Schizosaccharomyces pombe: one gene and its partners. The gene in region 1 interacts genetically with each later gene. Each region holds a gene or a part of one and is shown on either strand. Other genes may lie near its edges. The genes, in order: tif452, sfp1, irc3 and mgr2.

Region 1 (3,774 bases):
GCTTAGATGCATTGGATATCAGGTAAGTTACTACTTATAATTAGGAATTACAAAAGAATAGCACTCAAATATTTTAAGCCGCTGCATATGATTAAACGAGATTGAAACAAGTATTTGTATGTCCTTTATAGTACTCGATTGTGATCCTTTCTTTAACTTCACCTTATTTTTAATAATAATAATCTCATTGAAAGGACAGCACATCATGTCTATAAAGGGAAATATCAATAGGAATTGTTGACTTGGCTGGTTTAGCCTGTATCTCTTTACGAAATCTTTTTGTTAATAGTTCTATACTGTCATGCAACTTTTACTAACTAATAAATCTCAGCCATCAGATTTGAACCGACTAAATGTCATCCATGTTGCTGGAACTAAAGGAAAGGGTTCTACATGTGCATTTACATCCTCAATATTACAGCAAATACAGAAGAGTGGAGAAAGGTCGATTCCAAAATGCATTGGTATGTACACTTCTCCTCACCTCCGATCTGTCTGTGAACGTATTCAATTAAATGGCAAACCTATCAGTCAAGAGTTGTTTACTAAATATTTTTTTGATGTATGGGAGCGCCTAGAGAATGCTGTCGGTAGTGATTCGGAAAAGCCAATGTATTTCCGATTCTTGACACTAATGGCATGGCACGTTTTCATTTCAGAGAATGTCGATGCCGCTATCATTGAAGTTGGGATTGGTGGTGAATACGATTCTACAAACTTAATTGAAAAACCATATGCCACAGCAGTTACAAGCTTAGGTCTTGACCACACGTCTTTGTTGGGGAACACAATAGCAGAAATTGCTTGGCAGAAAGCTGGAATCTACAAAGAATCAGCTATTGCCTTAACTTGCGAGCAAGCTCCCGAGGCTATGAATGTTTTAAAAAACCGTGCTGCTGAACGAAATACATCACTTAAGGTAGTCATACCTCCTGCTGAATTAACGCCGGATATGATTGGTCTTTCAGGAGTTCATCAGCTTGGAAATACATCCCTTGCAGTTTCTTTAGTCCAAGAATTCTATGAAAAGGCCGGGTGCCCTTTTGATAGAGATCCATATCAGGATCCAGCAATTTTGGACGGCCTCAAGTATGTAAAATGGCCTGGAAGATGCCAAATTGAGGAAATCAACAACATAAAATGGTGTTTTGATGGAGCCCACACCAAGGAAAGTTTGGAGGCCACTGGACTTTGGCTCGCATCCAAGAAGAATCTTTATGAGGATGCAGATGCCCGTATTCTTCTGTTTAACCAGCAAAGCAGGGATGATCCAATTGCTTTACTTAGGTCCTTCTTAAAAGGATTGGAAAGCTCGGGAACTGGGATTTCGTTTACGCATGTTATATTCTCAACCAATGTCACCTGGAAGGATGCAGGCTATAATCCAGAGCTGTTAAGCATTAATACCATTACTGATAATAAGCCCGTTTTGCATGTACAAGAGGATTTATGTAAATGGTGGAAAGAATCGAAGGGCACGACTAGTGAAGCAACAGTAGCCCCTACCATCCAAGAAGCTATTGAGACAGTGATGTCAATTAAGCAAAAATCCAGGAATACTTTTGTTTGTGTCACCGGAAGTCTGCATTTAACTGGTGGTGTTTTTGTAGTACTAGATCAAGCTGTTTTTTGATTGAAATGGAGAAAGGTTCTACATTTTGCAACATTGTTTTTGAGATTTAAATGATTCTTAGATATACAACATAGCTTTATGCATCTTTGTAATTACAAAATGATTTTTAACAATTTGACACGTAAGGGGAACAAATTTGATTTCACGAATTATAATAGTATGCAGATAAAAAGCTGTGTGAAATTTGATTATACTCGTGCATTTCCAATCAAACAAATAATTTACTGTAAAGCTTTAAGGCTGATTATTGACTTTTTATATATACTTAGCCAATATTTAAGGTATGAATGTACAATTATATTTTACAGGAACAGTGTGTTGAAAGTTGCTTTTGCTTGGATCTCGTAACCCAATTACGACCACCGCATCTTTTCAGCATCCAGCCTAGTTTACAAACTGCCTATTATAAAAACGTTTTAAGCTCTTTTAATATTTTTGTTTTTTTAAAAAAAGCAAATGGCAGATGCAGAAGACTCGCGTCACTCAAAAAATGAGGGTTTTCCCAACACTTCCTTAATCACAGAAAAACTAGATCTATTGGATTTATTTGGGTCACCAAAAGTTAAAACTGAAAGAGAGGGACGTCCAGCGCGCCTTCTTGAAGGTCTATCGGCTGTTAATGCTGAAACTGCATTTGTAAAAACACACCCCCTTCAGCATGAATGGACATTGTGGTTTTTGAAACCACCTACACAAGGTCTTGAATGGAGTGATCTTCTTAAAGAGATTATTTCCTTCAAGACAGTGGAAGAGTTTTGGGGCATCTTTAAGACGATCTCAAAAGCTTCGATGCTTCCCGCCAAATCGGACTACTCTTACTTTTTGAAAGGTATTCGTCCTGAATGGGAGGATCCTCAAAACATGAATGGTGGGAAATGGGCCTACCAAAGCAAGCACAAAGGTTCAAATCTCGACGAGTTGTGGCTGTATATGGTAAGTCATGGTCTGTTCATTTTAACTGCTGTGATATCGACTTTACAGAATGTTAATTTTTAAGTTGAAAGTATTAACGTATGGAAATAGGTGCTGGCAGCCATTGGAGAAACATTAGACCCTACTGGGAAAGAAGTTACTGGTGTAGTTTGCAATATGAGGAAAGGATTCTATAGAATCGCTGTATGGACACGAAATTGTAATGACAAAGATGTTTTGGAAAAAATCGGGTATGTGAAGTTTTAAGAGTAACGTGTTGGTAGTTGACTGGACTAACAAACATGTAGCCTGCGCTTTAAAGAAGTTTTAGGGATTTCTGATAAAGAGACTATAGAATATAGTGCTCATGAGGATTCATCAAAGGCTGGTAGTATGCGAGCAAAAACCCGTATGAGTCTTTAATGATATCAAGTTTCAAGTTTTTATTTTTACTTTCTAAGGCTTGGTAAATTATAGGGGTGTTCATTTACGAATGACAATATGTTATTGCAATCATTGCCCTCTTGTTTTTGAGACCTCTAAAATACCAAGCTTATTGAGATGAGATAGATGCCTCTTTACAGTTAGTGTATTCGTATGAATAGTTTAATTTGTTATATTTGTTGAGCATTTTAATAGGCTAATGGATATAATCTATATTTGACCCTTCTCTTACGTTATAAATATTAAAATTCTATCAAGAATGTAAATATGCTAGATCGCCAAATCTTCCTATTATTCATAACCGCCTGTATATTAAACATTTATCGCTAGCTTATTTCAAGCTGAATAATGTCTACTATGATTTTACTATTTCCGAGGATCTAATGTAATGTTGGAACTAACCTTTATCGCTAAGGATCCATGAATGTTTGAATCAAACTAAAATTTCGAAATAATAGGCGACCTTCATTTCTTCTTATCATTGTCGAAATCGGATAACATTAATTAAGAAGATAGCCCTTTTAATCGAATTAATGCAGCGCTTAATGAGTACTGGGAAAAGTGGGGAAATTTACTTGCAACTTCTGTATGCTTAGAATTAGATATCTGGTGAAGAAGTATCTACAATCAGACTTTTCAATGTACTGTACGGAATATTGTCGAGTATCAGTGCACCACTTCAATTCCAAATCTATCGCTTCGCTTATACTCAAAGTTTTTTAAACAAATAAAGCTCAGCACTAACTTCATCATTTGGTTAATCAGCAATTAGCAAAGATGAAATG
Region 2 (5,118 bases), on another chromosome or scaffold:
GGAGATTTTTCTTGGAGTTTATGAGCTTTTTCCATCGTTATACACCTATAGCTTTGTACGAAGTTCAAAGGCCCAGATTAAATGATAGACCGCCTCTATATACCGCGAGAGATGAGATGGAAACTCTCTTGGCCAGTAATAAAGTTACGGACTGGGTTAAATTGAGTGAGTTCTTCCTAGGTCCTACTCCTGAGCGATTCACCTTTACACCAAAGCACAAAAGCAATAGTGTGGAAGAGGCAGAGGGATAAACAACTTATGGTCTTAGTGTATCGAGCATTCACTTTCTTCATATGCATCATCAACTTTTCATACTTAATACTGGCTTATCATCTGGATTGAATTAAGTAGATTAATAAAATATCTGGTGACTTATATACGAGTGATCTGTGTTTGTCTCGTAAAATGCGCAAATGACTAGGCAAATTGGTAATGAATCTAACGTTATATAGTCAACTTACCCAATGGGAACTAACCAACGATCTTACAGTACTCTACAATTACTATCGAAACTACGTTGTGAAATAACTTAGCAAATATATGGTAAATAACACTGCCATACATATTTATTAACTTAAAAGGTATAATAATAACAGCAAGAGGATATTTGGTACAAAAATAACTTAATACACAATAAAAACCATTAAAAATCCAGAATCCCAAAATGACAAAACAAAAAATTAAAAAACAAAAAAAAAGCAAACAAAACAAACACAGCCATCATGTAGGTAATAAAGTAAGTGCAAAATTAACGGGAATGAATCAAAGGAGACAGGTTCACTTTACAGCTAATTCGATTGTTGTATGCAGATAAATGCAAGCCCGTAAACATCAAGCAAACTCCACACAACATGTCTACCCTTCTCAAACTTAAAAGCAAAGATAGACATAAAAGTATTCAAACTTGAAGATACGAAACTGAGATACAAATCTCATGTTCAAATATTACAAAGGCAAAAAAGAGCATATTTATGCGGTGCGCATAAAGTTCATTTGAACTTCCCGTTGAGCTTGGGCCATAGACACTTGTAGATGACTATGTGTACGATGATATTTCAAACCGTTTAAGTTTTTATATCTTTTACTACAAACTTCACAGCGATAAGGCTTGTTTTCCACAACAAACCCTTGATGAGGAATTGGAGCTGGTGTTGGAGTAGTAATGGGGGAACAGTGTCCATGAAGTTTGTGATACTTCAAACCATTTTGATTCTTATAAGCCTTATCACAATTAGGGACAGGGCATTTGTATGGCTTGTCTACAACCACCAAGTTAGAGCCTGGGTAATCAATAGTGAGCGGTGAATCGTGTGAGAATGCAGGAGTAGAACGCTGCTTTTTAGATGGCTTAGCTTCCAAATCACTAGAAGATTTCCTAACAAATGGGGATGAGATTGCTGAGTTTGTGGCTGCGGGTGAAACTACTTCAGGAGTAGGAGACATGCTAGACTCTGTGAATTGATCGGCGGATGCGACAGATGGAGCAAATGAAAAAACATCGTGATCGTAATTGAATGGGGGAAGATATGTAGAGTCAACCATGTCCTTTTGATTGAACGCAAAAACATTATTGGCAGCGGACTCACCAACGTCAATAGACATGCTCATGTCACTGAGAGGGGAGCTTGCATCCATTACCAATGATTCAGGCATCTTTTTCGGGGTACCAGTTGTCTCTGCTTGACTACTGGCCTCGTCACTGCTCATGTCGGAGCTGGCAGCGGCAGCAGCAGCAGCAGCAGCGGCAGGTACGACAACGGAAACGCGGTAAGGGCCAGGAGCACCACCGTTAGCAGGAAAGGCAAATGGTAAAACAGCAGAATTATCAGAAATTTCAGAAGTTCCAAGCTGATCAGCAAGATCATGCATACGGATGCGCTCACGCTGTTTGAGCGCTTGAATATGAGAATGATTAGATTGAGCAGCGTTGTTGCTATCCAAAGAATATTCTTGAGGAACAGCAGAATCAGTTGCCAGAACGGCGTGCTGCTCTTCATAATGGTGAATAAGTTGATGCAAATCTTCGAGAGTTTGACCACAGCAGCGGAAATCACGGCAAAATGCTTCTTCTAACCGGTTTAGATAAGAGGTAGAATCCTCTTCGGGAATCGTTTGTGACTCAACCACGTTAGAAAGAGATGGAATAGTATCACGAAGCCAAGCTTGTCCACTAAAGCTATTTCCCCAAGACTGTGGACTCATTCCAAAAGAGGTAGCATGAATGCTGTTAAAGGAATTTCCGTTGTAGTTGACATTGTGATGGGAAGGCTTATTGATAGGCAATGCGAGAGATGGCATATTGAAAAGTTTTTAAGGGAATTAATAAAATTAAAGAGATAAAAGAGAAAATTAAAAGATAAACCGATAAATAGAAACCAAATTAAAAATTATATACCAATGATGAAAAAATAGAATAAAAATAACAAAATAATTTAGTAAGTTATTTTTTGAGAAATCAGGGAATAATGCACTTAGAAAACTCGACTTAAGGAAGGCAAGTTCTTAGAGAGCGCTGAGAGGGGTAAAAAAAGGCAATTAAAAAAAGACTGAATGTAAAATCTAATGAAATTCGACGAACTATAAATTCGAAAAAAAAAGGAAAAAGTTTCTAAAAGAAGAATTTACCAAGCAAAAAAATGAAGGTAAACTATTTTTAAGCACTAAATTACCCAAGTGTAATTAGTGTATTGTAATGTTTTAAGTGGAAACCCCAAAGTGACTTATCTAATTTTTTCAGTCTAAACAAATTGGCGATTAACGGATGATAAATGTATAATATAAATAAGATGAAAAGAAAGGGAGTAAAAACCTTTTAAAGAATCCTTTTTAATCAACAAAGAAAGTCAAGTAATAACGAATCGAGTCGAGGAAACTGTTCGATTCGACTTTTTTTTAAAATAAAGCGAAATAGTAAATAATTTACGCTTTGATTCAATGAACAATCGAGATCAATCGAAAAGAGTGGTGATACTTCAAAAGAGTAATCTTTTTTTTGCAGGCAACTAGTGGACGCAATATATGTTGCAAGCGAATTTTTTTTATAAATATGTTTAATTTTTTTTAAGTTGAATATATGGTATTCAACAACAATTCTATGATTGTACTAACTCCCTTAAGTTAAGTAAGTATATTTGCTTCTGCTTCCTTCGTGTCGTCCTCACGTTGAAGTTAGTCAGAATAAGGCGTTAAGAAGGGTAGGACGGTGTTTAAGTAGTAATTGATAAGGTGATTTAGCAAGCCTTCTCGTTACGTATGTATAAAGGTAACAAGGATAAAAGGGTCAAGTAACAGTGACGCCGACTATGCGAGCGAATAACAGTGAAGCTTTCAGACTTAAACACCTAATGAGGGGCCCTTAAATATAAGAAAGCCAATCAGAGTACACAGAGTGGATCGAACTTGGATCAAAGTAATTAGGGGTAACAATGCAACTTCGTCAGTGCCGTATCGGAAGGTCGTTACTTCCAATAGATGGGGCCGAAGACAAGGGGCGAATAGTTTCTAGACAAAGGGTCGCAAATGAACGATGGCGGATGGCTTGGAGCTCAGTGCAGAATTAAGCGGTACGCAGCTTAGCGTTATAGTGTCCTAATATACGGTCAAGTGCACACGGGTACAGTAACACACACAATCTTTGTTTATGTGTTTCTCGGAAAATCGAAGCGGCTAAAAACGTTTAGCGATTCAAATGTTGGTTCGGTAATCAAACTTGAGGCAGGGTTCGCAGTCTGGTCACGTTGTGAAGCAGCTAATGGGGAATGGATGGAGGCAGACAATGAAGATCGTTGTCGGTTATACCAAATTTACCGGGAAAGCAAACTCAAGGAATTTGCGAGATACAATGTCCTTTCAAGGGTTAATTGGTAAAGTAAACGACTATGAAATGAAAGAAATATCGTCGTTTAATTGAAATGGAGGAAGGATATTTCTCTTCTTTGTGCTAGTAAAGAGAAGACGGATATTTTTGGAAGAGATGTAAAAAGACAAGCAAACAAGAAAATGAAAATGGACGTCTAGCGATTTTACAAGAAAAAATTAGACGGGAAAAGGGAAAAGAAAAACTAAAGCTTATAGGAAATGGAGCTAAAAAAATATCTAGATAGAATAGCTTGCGAATGAAGAAAAAAACAAACTATCGTACAAGATAAACCAAATATATAAACCTTACAACAACCCAAAAGAAAATGATTGAAAGTAAGGTGAAGATCAGTAACTAACAAAGGAACAGAATGGAATAACAAGTATATAACTAAGTAAATAAATAAATAAAGAATCGGTATTATCACAGATAAATGAAAAGATAATACACACAACGATGAAGAGAATATAAAAAAAAAATTGTTTCGTTAGAATCAAAGGAAGTTTTTAACAGAACGGAGTTTTTTATTTTTTTTCGTAACCAAAAAAGACTTTTAGAAAAATTGCAAGGATTTAGAGCAATACTGATGATTTCATACAAACGATTGGAGAATGGGATGTATTGTATTGAAACCAATGAACTGAATCGAATCGTTAAGAGGAAATTTTTTTTTAATAAACAATGCAGTTTGTGTTTGGCATTAGCGAAATCCACATCCATTATATAGAAATGGAAAGTCAACGTCAAATGTCCAATCTATCAATTCTTCGTTTTCTTCCAGAAACTCTTAAGCATCATTTTCATTATTTAACAATCCCATCATTTGTCCACATATCCACCACACTTAGGTCAGTAGTTGAAAAGATGAAATTCGCAGGCATCACACTCAATACCAAAGGCAATGAATTTACAACGTTTTAATTACATTTCTCAGCAATCTTCTAGGGTTCTGGCCATTGGATAGTTTATGATGCTTCTATATCAAACACACTCTACCATGATGTCAAGGGCGCTGGCGCTATGGCAAGCGAAGGGATATGAACAAGGACCAAGATAAAAGTGATTCTGACTTGGTTCATGAATGAAAAACTACAGACAATTTGATAGGATTAATAATTGAAGAAAACGATAAAGAAATTCATACATCCCAAGGAGTAATCTATCGTCTATGAGAAAAAAATGAAAAAATGACATTAGTAAACAAGTGTCAAGAGAGTATGGGTCAACAACATCAAAACGACATTGTCGCATACAATTCA
Region 3 (4,620 bases), 2.2 Mb from region 1:
CCCACTACCAATTCTGTTACAGATGTAGCCAAAGATCAAACTGTCACAAACCCTAAAAAACGAAAGTTTGAAGTCACTGATTTAGCGCGAGGATCACGACCTGCAATAGGGCCAATTGCAGTCCTTGATATGACGGTTTCTTCTGGTTTCTACGTTCGCTCTTTAATTCATGATTTGGGCCGACAAGTAAATAGTGAAGCACACATGGTCGATCTTGTGAGATTGAAACAGGGGTCTTTTGCACTAGACGATGAAAACTGCTTTGATTTTTCAGAATTTTCAGCTCCAGGCTGGGAGGAAAAACTCGCAGCAGCGTTCAAAATCGACCTGAAAGGAGACGAAACAAGCTGAAGCAGTCTTAATATATATACCAGTAATATACTTTTTAGATAAGGACATTCATATTTTCTTTAAAAGCATATAATAGACATTTCTTTTCCACTCCAAGCAAATATTATCACTGGTACAGTGAAGAAAACGATTTTTATGAAGAACACTGAAACCATCAACCCTTTAATTCCTTCAATGTAGTAATACGCTTTAAATTTGCGTCGTGTTTCAGATAACTTTGTAGCTTATCTGTTCTAACTTGTCGACCTTTTCCTCCATAAATTACTTTAGTAATCATATCAGCTGCAACACCTGCTGTCAAGAGTTTTTCATCTAGTTTTAAATTTGATTTTTTCAAGAAGTTTATTTGTCTAACAGACGCGGGTCTCATTCTCCACACTGCTTTACGACTAATAAGAGAACGAGGTGTTTTCAAATTGGAAATGTATGTTTCCGCTGCCCTTATCGCGAATTTCAAGGAAGGTATGCGATCGGATACAATACGTTTTCGATTATACACTCGAGTCCCTAATTTCTCTTTCGTATATTCAGATATCTTATGTGTCCCATCTTCAAAATTTGTATCAATTATCAACACCTTTTGTAAAAAGCTCAAGACATATCGACCCATACCGACAGCAACCCAAGCATTAGTAGATAAATTGAAAATGCTCCTATCTTTGTTTTTAATGTTATCCATCATTTCTATCAACTTCCGTAATTTGCTGTACCACAAAACAGATTGTAATCCATAAATTTTAGGATCATAATCAGGGTTCGCAAGGGAATTCTTTGATTTATTATAAAAGTTTTCAACTTCATCGGGGGAAAGACCAGCTAAAGTAGGGTCAACATGTAGACTGACTCTTCTTAAAGAATCACAAAAATCTAATATTAGACAATCTCTTTTTCCCTCATGCAATCGCAATCCCCTACCAATCATCTGTGTAAGTAAATTTGGAGAACTTGTAGGCCGAGCGATCATTAAACAATCAATATTAGGAATATCGGTCCCTTCAGTCAACACCATGCAATTAACAAGGACAGGAAATTTCTTTTTTCGGAAATCTTGGATTAAAGTTTCACGTTCCGAATCATTAGTTTCCCCAAACAAAGCTCGGGCATCAATACCTAATTTTCGAAATGCATTACAAACTTTTAATGAATGCTCTACATTTATGCAAAACACCAATGTAGATGAGCGGTTACCTAAAAGGAAATTAATATAGAGATAACTATATTCAGCTTACTAGCATGTTCGAGCCAAGCTCTTGGAATTTCGAATATTGCCTTTTCTGATTGTGCCTCCTTTTTTAACTTCTCTTGGTCCAAGAAGCTAGACGAATCAGCTAACACAAGATCTGTAGACCACTTTATGTTTATGACTTTTGGTTCAACAAGCCTTAACATTGGGAGTTAGGAAGAGTACCTATAAATATGACACACTTACCAGTTATCTTTGATCATGTCCACGAAATGTCTATTTATTAGCATTTGAACGTTCTACTGTTAGCATTACCTGTGATAAACAATCTCATCTAGGCCACAAGCCAACCCTTTTCCGTCTGCTCTGAAAAGAGTCGCAGTAAGTCCTATCACATTCACTTTCGATTTTTCCGATTCTGCGCCAAAATGCTCAAGGATTCGTAAGTACGAAGGAGACGCCATATGGTGAACTTCATCAAAAATTAAAAGTTTAAAATTGAGAGGATTATATTTAAGTAGTCTTTCATTTTTTAAAGAAAAAACTGACGCAACGGTAACATCAGCCAGTCCGGATGCACACTGATTGCCCATATCAATCTCAATAGACTATGGCAAAGTTAGTAAACGAAACAGCGTGGAATCTATTTGGAAAAAGAACGGTACCTTATTCGGAAGGCTTTCTCGGCAATGCTTGAGGGCCTGTAAAGCTAACTCCTTTCTGTGAACCAAAATTAGACATTGCTCAGAGTTTGGCCTTAAAGTAGGTGCATATTTTATAAAGTGGGGAAACAATGCCTTTAGACGTGTTAATATTGCAGTCAGTAGTAGAACAGTAATACCGTTTTACCAGAGCCTGTAGCTAATGAAACAGCAATTCGACGTTTACCTTCATCAAAAGCGTTTAAGCAGGCACTGAGGCATTCTTCTTGATAAGGACGAAGTTTAAGAGCAAATCTTCTAAATATAGTTGAACCATTTCTTGGCCACAAATTCTTTTTGCAACATGCGTTTAGTAGCATGTCTACGGCAAGATAATCTCTGACACAAAAATAATTTTATAACTATAGAATACAGCAATGGATAAGGGCATAAAATGGCTTAGTTAAAATAATTTGTCAGAGCATAAATTAGCATGACATGCAGACAATTAATTATTACTTACTTTTATTGACTTACAAAGGCTAACTAAGATATAAAATTTGAAAGTTCTATAAACATTATAGAAAAAAAAATTTTAAATTTTAGCAATTTCATAATATATGCAAATAATTTACTACCAACCTTATGTCCAAGCATTGGTATAGTATCAATAACTCAAGCAAATTATTCCCCAAGTTGTAAACAAATCACTTACAGATAAATAAATACGGGTGGATTTAAAATCCGCTTCTTTTCTTTTTCTTTTTGGAAGGACGAGAACCATATTTGCCACTAACGACTTGTGACATTATTGGGATAGTTTGGCTAGAACTCTCCGAGTATAGCGATGAAAAATTAGGAACATCTTCTTGAGAAAAGACTGTCGCAATTTGGCTTGAGGGAAGTACAGAAGACTGCTGTTGTGAAATGTAGAAATCACTAAATTGGCTAGATGATGGATCCTCCGTTTCGACAGCGCTATCACCAATGACATAAGTTGAAGATATCTTTCCAATCTCCCAATTCTCCAAAATATTTCTAACATCTTCATTCAGCTCCAGGCCTTCCGTATCATAAAAAGGTTTGATAAATGTAAGCAAGTCGGTTGAATCGATTTCCTTTCGAGACAATGATGGATCAAATATTTTTTCCCTGGAGACTCCTATAGAAGAAAGAAATAAATAGTGAATAACATTTTTTATAGATCTTCTTTGAGAAGACTGAAAGCAAGGAATTTCGACAGACTTATCAGTATTAGATTCCCAGCGCCTGTGTATTAAACTAGCAATTGAGTCCACGGAAGTATAAAAGAAAGAAGCATTGTTGTAGTTAATACCAAACATATAAGGAAAATAAAATGATAGTTCTGTACCTTCTAAATGACTTATGATCTCAGCTACATTAGTAAAGGTTCCTTTCAAAGGAAATCCGTCATATAACTCACTCAAAGTTATTATAACATCGTGATTGATAGAATCAAAAGCTTCTACAAAATCCGGAACTTTGCTAGCGAATTCATCAAGGGTGATAGTATTCTTTTTGTTCCTATTAGAGCACAAAACATGGTATAACCGTGACAGTGATAATTGTTGAAAATCGGAATTCGGAGTGCTTATTATTTCTTGATCATTTGCCGAATCATCTTCACTAGTGTTTACAGAAGGGGTGATAGTTTTAAATTTCATAGCAACTTGGCTAGAACCAGTAAGCTCCTCTAAATTATATATTTTAAGAGAACTTTTTTCGCAAAGAATATGTAAGGAAAGAGATCCGTCAGCCTTATCAATTATTGCAGACCAAAAAGGTGAATCAAAAGGACCTTGTCTGTCAAATTCAGATGACTCAAAAAAATAACAAGGTTGTATAATGAGGGATCTTATGGGAACCTGAACCTCATTTAATAATAGAAATGGATGACTACCTGATACAGGTAGAGCTCTGTCTTTTGAAAAATGAATTTGTTGGACAACACCATTCATTTGAGAATAAACAGAGACATAGATGTTTTGAGAAAAAGTAGCGGTAACCGTAATTTTCAAAGTAGGATCTAATTTTCTATTATGTTTCCATTCAAGTAGCGGCTTCTGAGGATGTTGAATATCCATCCACAAGACGGACTCGGTAGTTAAAATGAAAAACTCAGATTTAATAGGCATAGATTCATTTACCACTTGTAGAATCCTAACATCTGAACTGCAGTGGAATAAAAGATGGAAATCAGGTACCTCCCCAAGAGACACATGAAGAATAAAAAAAGCATTATGCAAAATGACACCGCCAAAATACTCTTCCCATTTAGCTCTATATATTGTATTATCGGGATTTATTTCTTCTTCGTGATAAGCAATGGAACTTGTTGGTGCAGAACATAATGCTTGTTGCAAAGACTCTTTGAAAGAACTACCGAAGCATTCCCTGTACCCATCATCTAAGAATTGCCAGATG
Region 4 (3,051 bases), 440 kb from region 1:
TCTTTGAAGGCCGGTGATCGTGTTGCATTATTAGATCCTAGGGATGGGCAAACTGTTATTGCCATTTTGACTGTTGAGGACAAGTATACCCCAGATAAGGCGAACGAAGCTGAAAAGGTATTTGGTGCTAATGATCGCGCCCACCCTGCCGTCGACTACTTGTTTGGTCGTGCTGGAAATGTGTATGTTGGTGGTAAACTTCAAGCCGTTACTCCTATTCGCCATTTCGATTTCGTAGAGTACCGCTACTCACCTGCTCAACTTCGCTCTGACTTCCAGCGTAACAACTGGAATCGCGTCGTTGCTTTCCAAACCCGTAATCCCATGCATCGCGCCCATCGTGAGCTTACCGTCCGTGCTGCTAAGCAACACGGTGCCCGTGTGCTCATTCACCCTGTCGTCGGTATGACCAAGCCTGGTGATATCGATCACTTCACCCGTGTGCGTGTTTACGAGGCTATTCTCCAACGCTATCCTAAGGGTTCCGCCAAGCTCTCTCTTCTTCCCTTAGCCATGCGTATGGCTGGTCCTCGTGAAGCTTTATGGCACGCCATCATTCGTAAGAACTACGGTGCTTCTCATTTCATCATTGGTCGTGATCATGCTGGTCCTGGTAAGAACAGTCAAGGCGAGGATTTTTATGGTCCTTACGATGCTCAGTACCTTGTTGAACAATACGCTCAGGAAATCGGTATCACCATTGTTCCTTTCCAAATGATGACTTACCTTCCTGATGAGGACATCTACAAGCCAGTTGACAAAGTCGAACCCGGTACCCGTACTTTGAACATCAGTGGTACTGAACTTCGTCGCCGTCTTCGCGTCGGTGCCAACATCCCTGAGTGGTTCTCTTATCCAGAGGTTGTCGCTATTTTACGTCAATCCTATCCTCCCAAATACTCTCAAGGATTTGTTTTGGCTGTTCCTGCCACCTCCGATAAACTTCTCCCCAGCGCTCTAGTTTCAGCCTTGAACGAGGATGGTCGCCGCCATGTCACTCTTTTACCTCGCTTAGATGCTATTTCAGTGTTTTACGCCCAAGAATTGCAACGTGCTGGTGCTGCCGTTGTTGTTTCTCTGGCTGATGCTGATGCATCTGTTAAAGTACCTGCTGAGTGGACTACCGTAAACATCAAGCCCAAAGACTCTGTTTCTGAGGTTACTTTTGCTGTCCTTTCACAATTGTCTGACGAAGGCTATCTTTAAAATAATGTTTTTTGACATATATATATATATATATATATACATATATCCATTTTTGTTCTTTTATGTTCTACTTGTCTATTAAATAATAAAATAATTGCTGCAGGAATGACAACACTCCCTCATTAGAACTTTGCCATTTGTAGATGTAACTAAGAATGCAACTCAATTAAATTTCGCTAAGGACATGTTAGTAATTAATTAGCGATAGGCTTCTTAATAACAAAAGGTAGGAAATTCAATCCGAAGCCGAGGGGAATTAATTTATTATATATGTCAGATATACATAGCAGACTTTAGCAATTGCAATACATGCCAATGCAATGTTTTATTTTAATTCAGAAGTCATTATAACGTTAAGCCTATGCTCTCACTTAACGCATGCCTGGATGTAATACATTGTTACATTTACTTAAAAAAACTGGGCTTATAAAAAATATATATATAGGTTTTCTTTAAATTAACATTTCCTAAACTAAACTATTGATTTAACAAAAGAAATTGTTACATCTATTGTTATACCTAGGTATCCAATATAATAACTGTATACTACCTTACTTTTCCTACCAACAAAATCCCCCTTGAAACTAGTGCTCTCTATTTCTAAATAAAAGTAAGACCTTTAACTACTCAAAATGCAATCTATGCAACCTTCAACTGTGGATAAGCGTAAGTTCTATATTGTATGAATTCAGTCATTAACACTGAACAGTAAAAATGGGCGCCATTATGGGTTCAGCTGCTGGACTTGGCATCGGGTTTTTATTTGGAGGAGTAGCAGTTTTGCGCTATGGGCCTGGTCCACGTGGATTCTTAAGGACCTTAGGTCAATACATGTTAACATCTGCGGCCACTTTTGGCTTTTTCATGTCCATCGGCTCTGTAATTCGCAACGAAGATATACCACTAATACAGCAGTCAGGCTCACATTGGAATCAAAGATTATTAAATGAAAATGCAAATTCCAGTCGTATTTTTGCCTTGGCTATGCAACAGGCCAAAAGTTCTCCACGTAAATCAAATGAAGTTGCTGAGTGCTAATTTCGTTTAATCCGATTATAATAAAAGTATCATACTATCATTTTGTTAGTATATGAGGTACAATATTTGTTTCTCCTGAATTCTGAGTTAAAGATGTACTGATGATTGTACTATCATGCATTTAAACTAAAAAGCTTTGGCCGCTACATCAAAGGACTTTTGCATTTTTCTGATAGTTCATGTTTAAAAAAGTCTTTATACCATATTGTTAATATTTTGATGGCGATTTAATTTTCCTTAAAATTTTTACGATTTAAAGATTTGGGTAATTTGCTAGGTGGTAAATTGGTAAATTAGTTTGTTTCGATGAATAATATTTGTAGCAATAGTTACAAAAAATGATCGAAGACAAGCTATTACAAATAAGCTAATTATTATTTGATCATAAAGATATTTAGAAACAATACTTGTGCCTTAAAACTTGCAATATCAATAATGCTTGTCATAAGGAAGATTCGGTTACATATGGGTTGAAGATACATATGCTCATTAGTATTATTAAATGTATTATATATGCTTGATGTTATCACTTCTTTAGATGCTAATTGTAATGTAAATGCGTCTGTTGTCTCTTTTTGTACACGCATTATTAGTTGGTATCTTATATAAAACTTCGATTCAATCTCCAACTGGTAAAGCAAAATGCAATTAATGCCAGAATAAAATAAATATGCAAGTCCATAAACCGTTGTATGCACCATTCATAAGCAGAATTTACTGCGTTCATAAAGTTGCGAAAGCATAGTCTTCAAAATCTTTCGTTTGCTTCTTAGCCAAAATTCAAAAAAAAACTTGAAAGCACCTGCA

Evidence for each region.
Region 2: mutations in tif452 (region 1) and sfp1 together harm fitness more than expected from each alone (negative genetic interaction), as found in Schizosaccharomyces pombe (one large-scale study listed by BioGRID).
Region 3: mutations in tif452 (region 1) and irc3 together harm fitness more than expected from each alone (negative genetic interaction), as found in Schizosaccharomyces pombe (one large-scale study listed by BioGRID).
Region 4: mutations in tif452 (region 1) and mgr2 together harm fitness less than expected from each alone (positive genetic interaction), as found in Schizosaccharomyces pombe (one large-scale study listed by BioGRID).

Annotation. Positions count from the first base shown.
Region 1 is NC_003423.3:1,132,410-1,136,183, forward strand, and holds tif452 (translation initiation factor eIF4E, 4F complex E subunit isoform 2, stress response factor), read left to right. Parts: upstream 1-1,984; 5' UTR 1,985-2,089; coding exon 2,090-2,566; exon of another isoform or gene 2,567-2,656; coding exon 2,657-2,796; exon of another isoform or gene 2,797-2,853; coding exon 2,854-2,968; 3' UTR 2,969-3,210; downstream 3,211-3,774. Other genes in the region: met7 (putative folylpolyglutamate synthase), read left to right, coding at 1-22, 332-1,633. UniProt on the Schizosaccharomyces pombe protein: Recognizes and binds the 7-methylguanosine-containing mRNA cap during an early step in the initiation of protein synthesis and facilitates ribosome binding by inducing the unwinding of the mRNAs secondary structures.
Region 2 is NC_003424.3:4,431,335-4,436,452, forward strand, and holds sfp1 (transcription factor Sfp1), read right to left. Parts: upstream 3,180-5,118; 5' UTR 2,299-3,179; coding exon 970-2,298; 3' UTR 535-969; downstream 1-534. Other genes in the region: tRNA dihydrouridine synthase Dus3, read left to right, coding at 1-251; SPOM_SPAC9E9.01 (uncharacterized protein), read left to right, coding at 3,527-3,563, 3,605-3,867; SPOM_SPAC9E9.02 (uncharacterized protein), read right to left, coding at 4,283-4,579.
Region 3 is NC_003423.3:3,366,666-3,371,285, forward strand, and holds irc3 (ATP-dependent DNA helicase Irc3), read right to left. Parts: upstream 2,562-4,620; 5' UTR 2,556-2,561; coding exon 2,376-2,555; exon of another isoform or gene 2,332-2,375; coding exon 2,200-2,331; exon of another isoform or gene 2,143-2,199; coding exon 1,850-2,142; exon of another isoform or gene 1,811-1,849; coding exon 1,781-1,810; exon of another isoform or gene 1,733-1,780; coding exon 1,581-1,732; exon of another isoform or gene 1,540-1,580; coding exon 506-1,539; downstream 1-505. Other genes in the region: pus4 (tRNA pseudouridine synthase), read left to right, coding at 1-351; RNA polymerase I transcription factor subunit Rrn6, read right to left, coding at 2,913-4,620.
Region 4 is NC_003423.3:1,569,640-1,572,690, reverse strand, and holds mgr2 (protein Mgr2), read left to right. Parts: upstream 1-1,771; 5' UTR 1,772-1,838; coding exon 1,839-1,872; exon of another isoform or gene 1,873-1,915; coding exon 1,916-2,244; 3' UTR 2,245-2,487; downstream 2,488-3,051. Other genes in the region: sua1 (sulfate adenylyltransferase), read left to right, coding at 1-1,206; SPOM_SPBC27.05 (uncharacterized protein), read right to left, coding at 2,619-2,945. UniProt on the Schizosaccharomyces pombe protein: Required for cell viability in cells lacking mitochondrial DNA.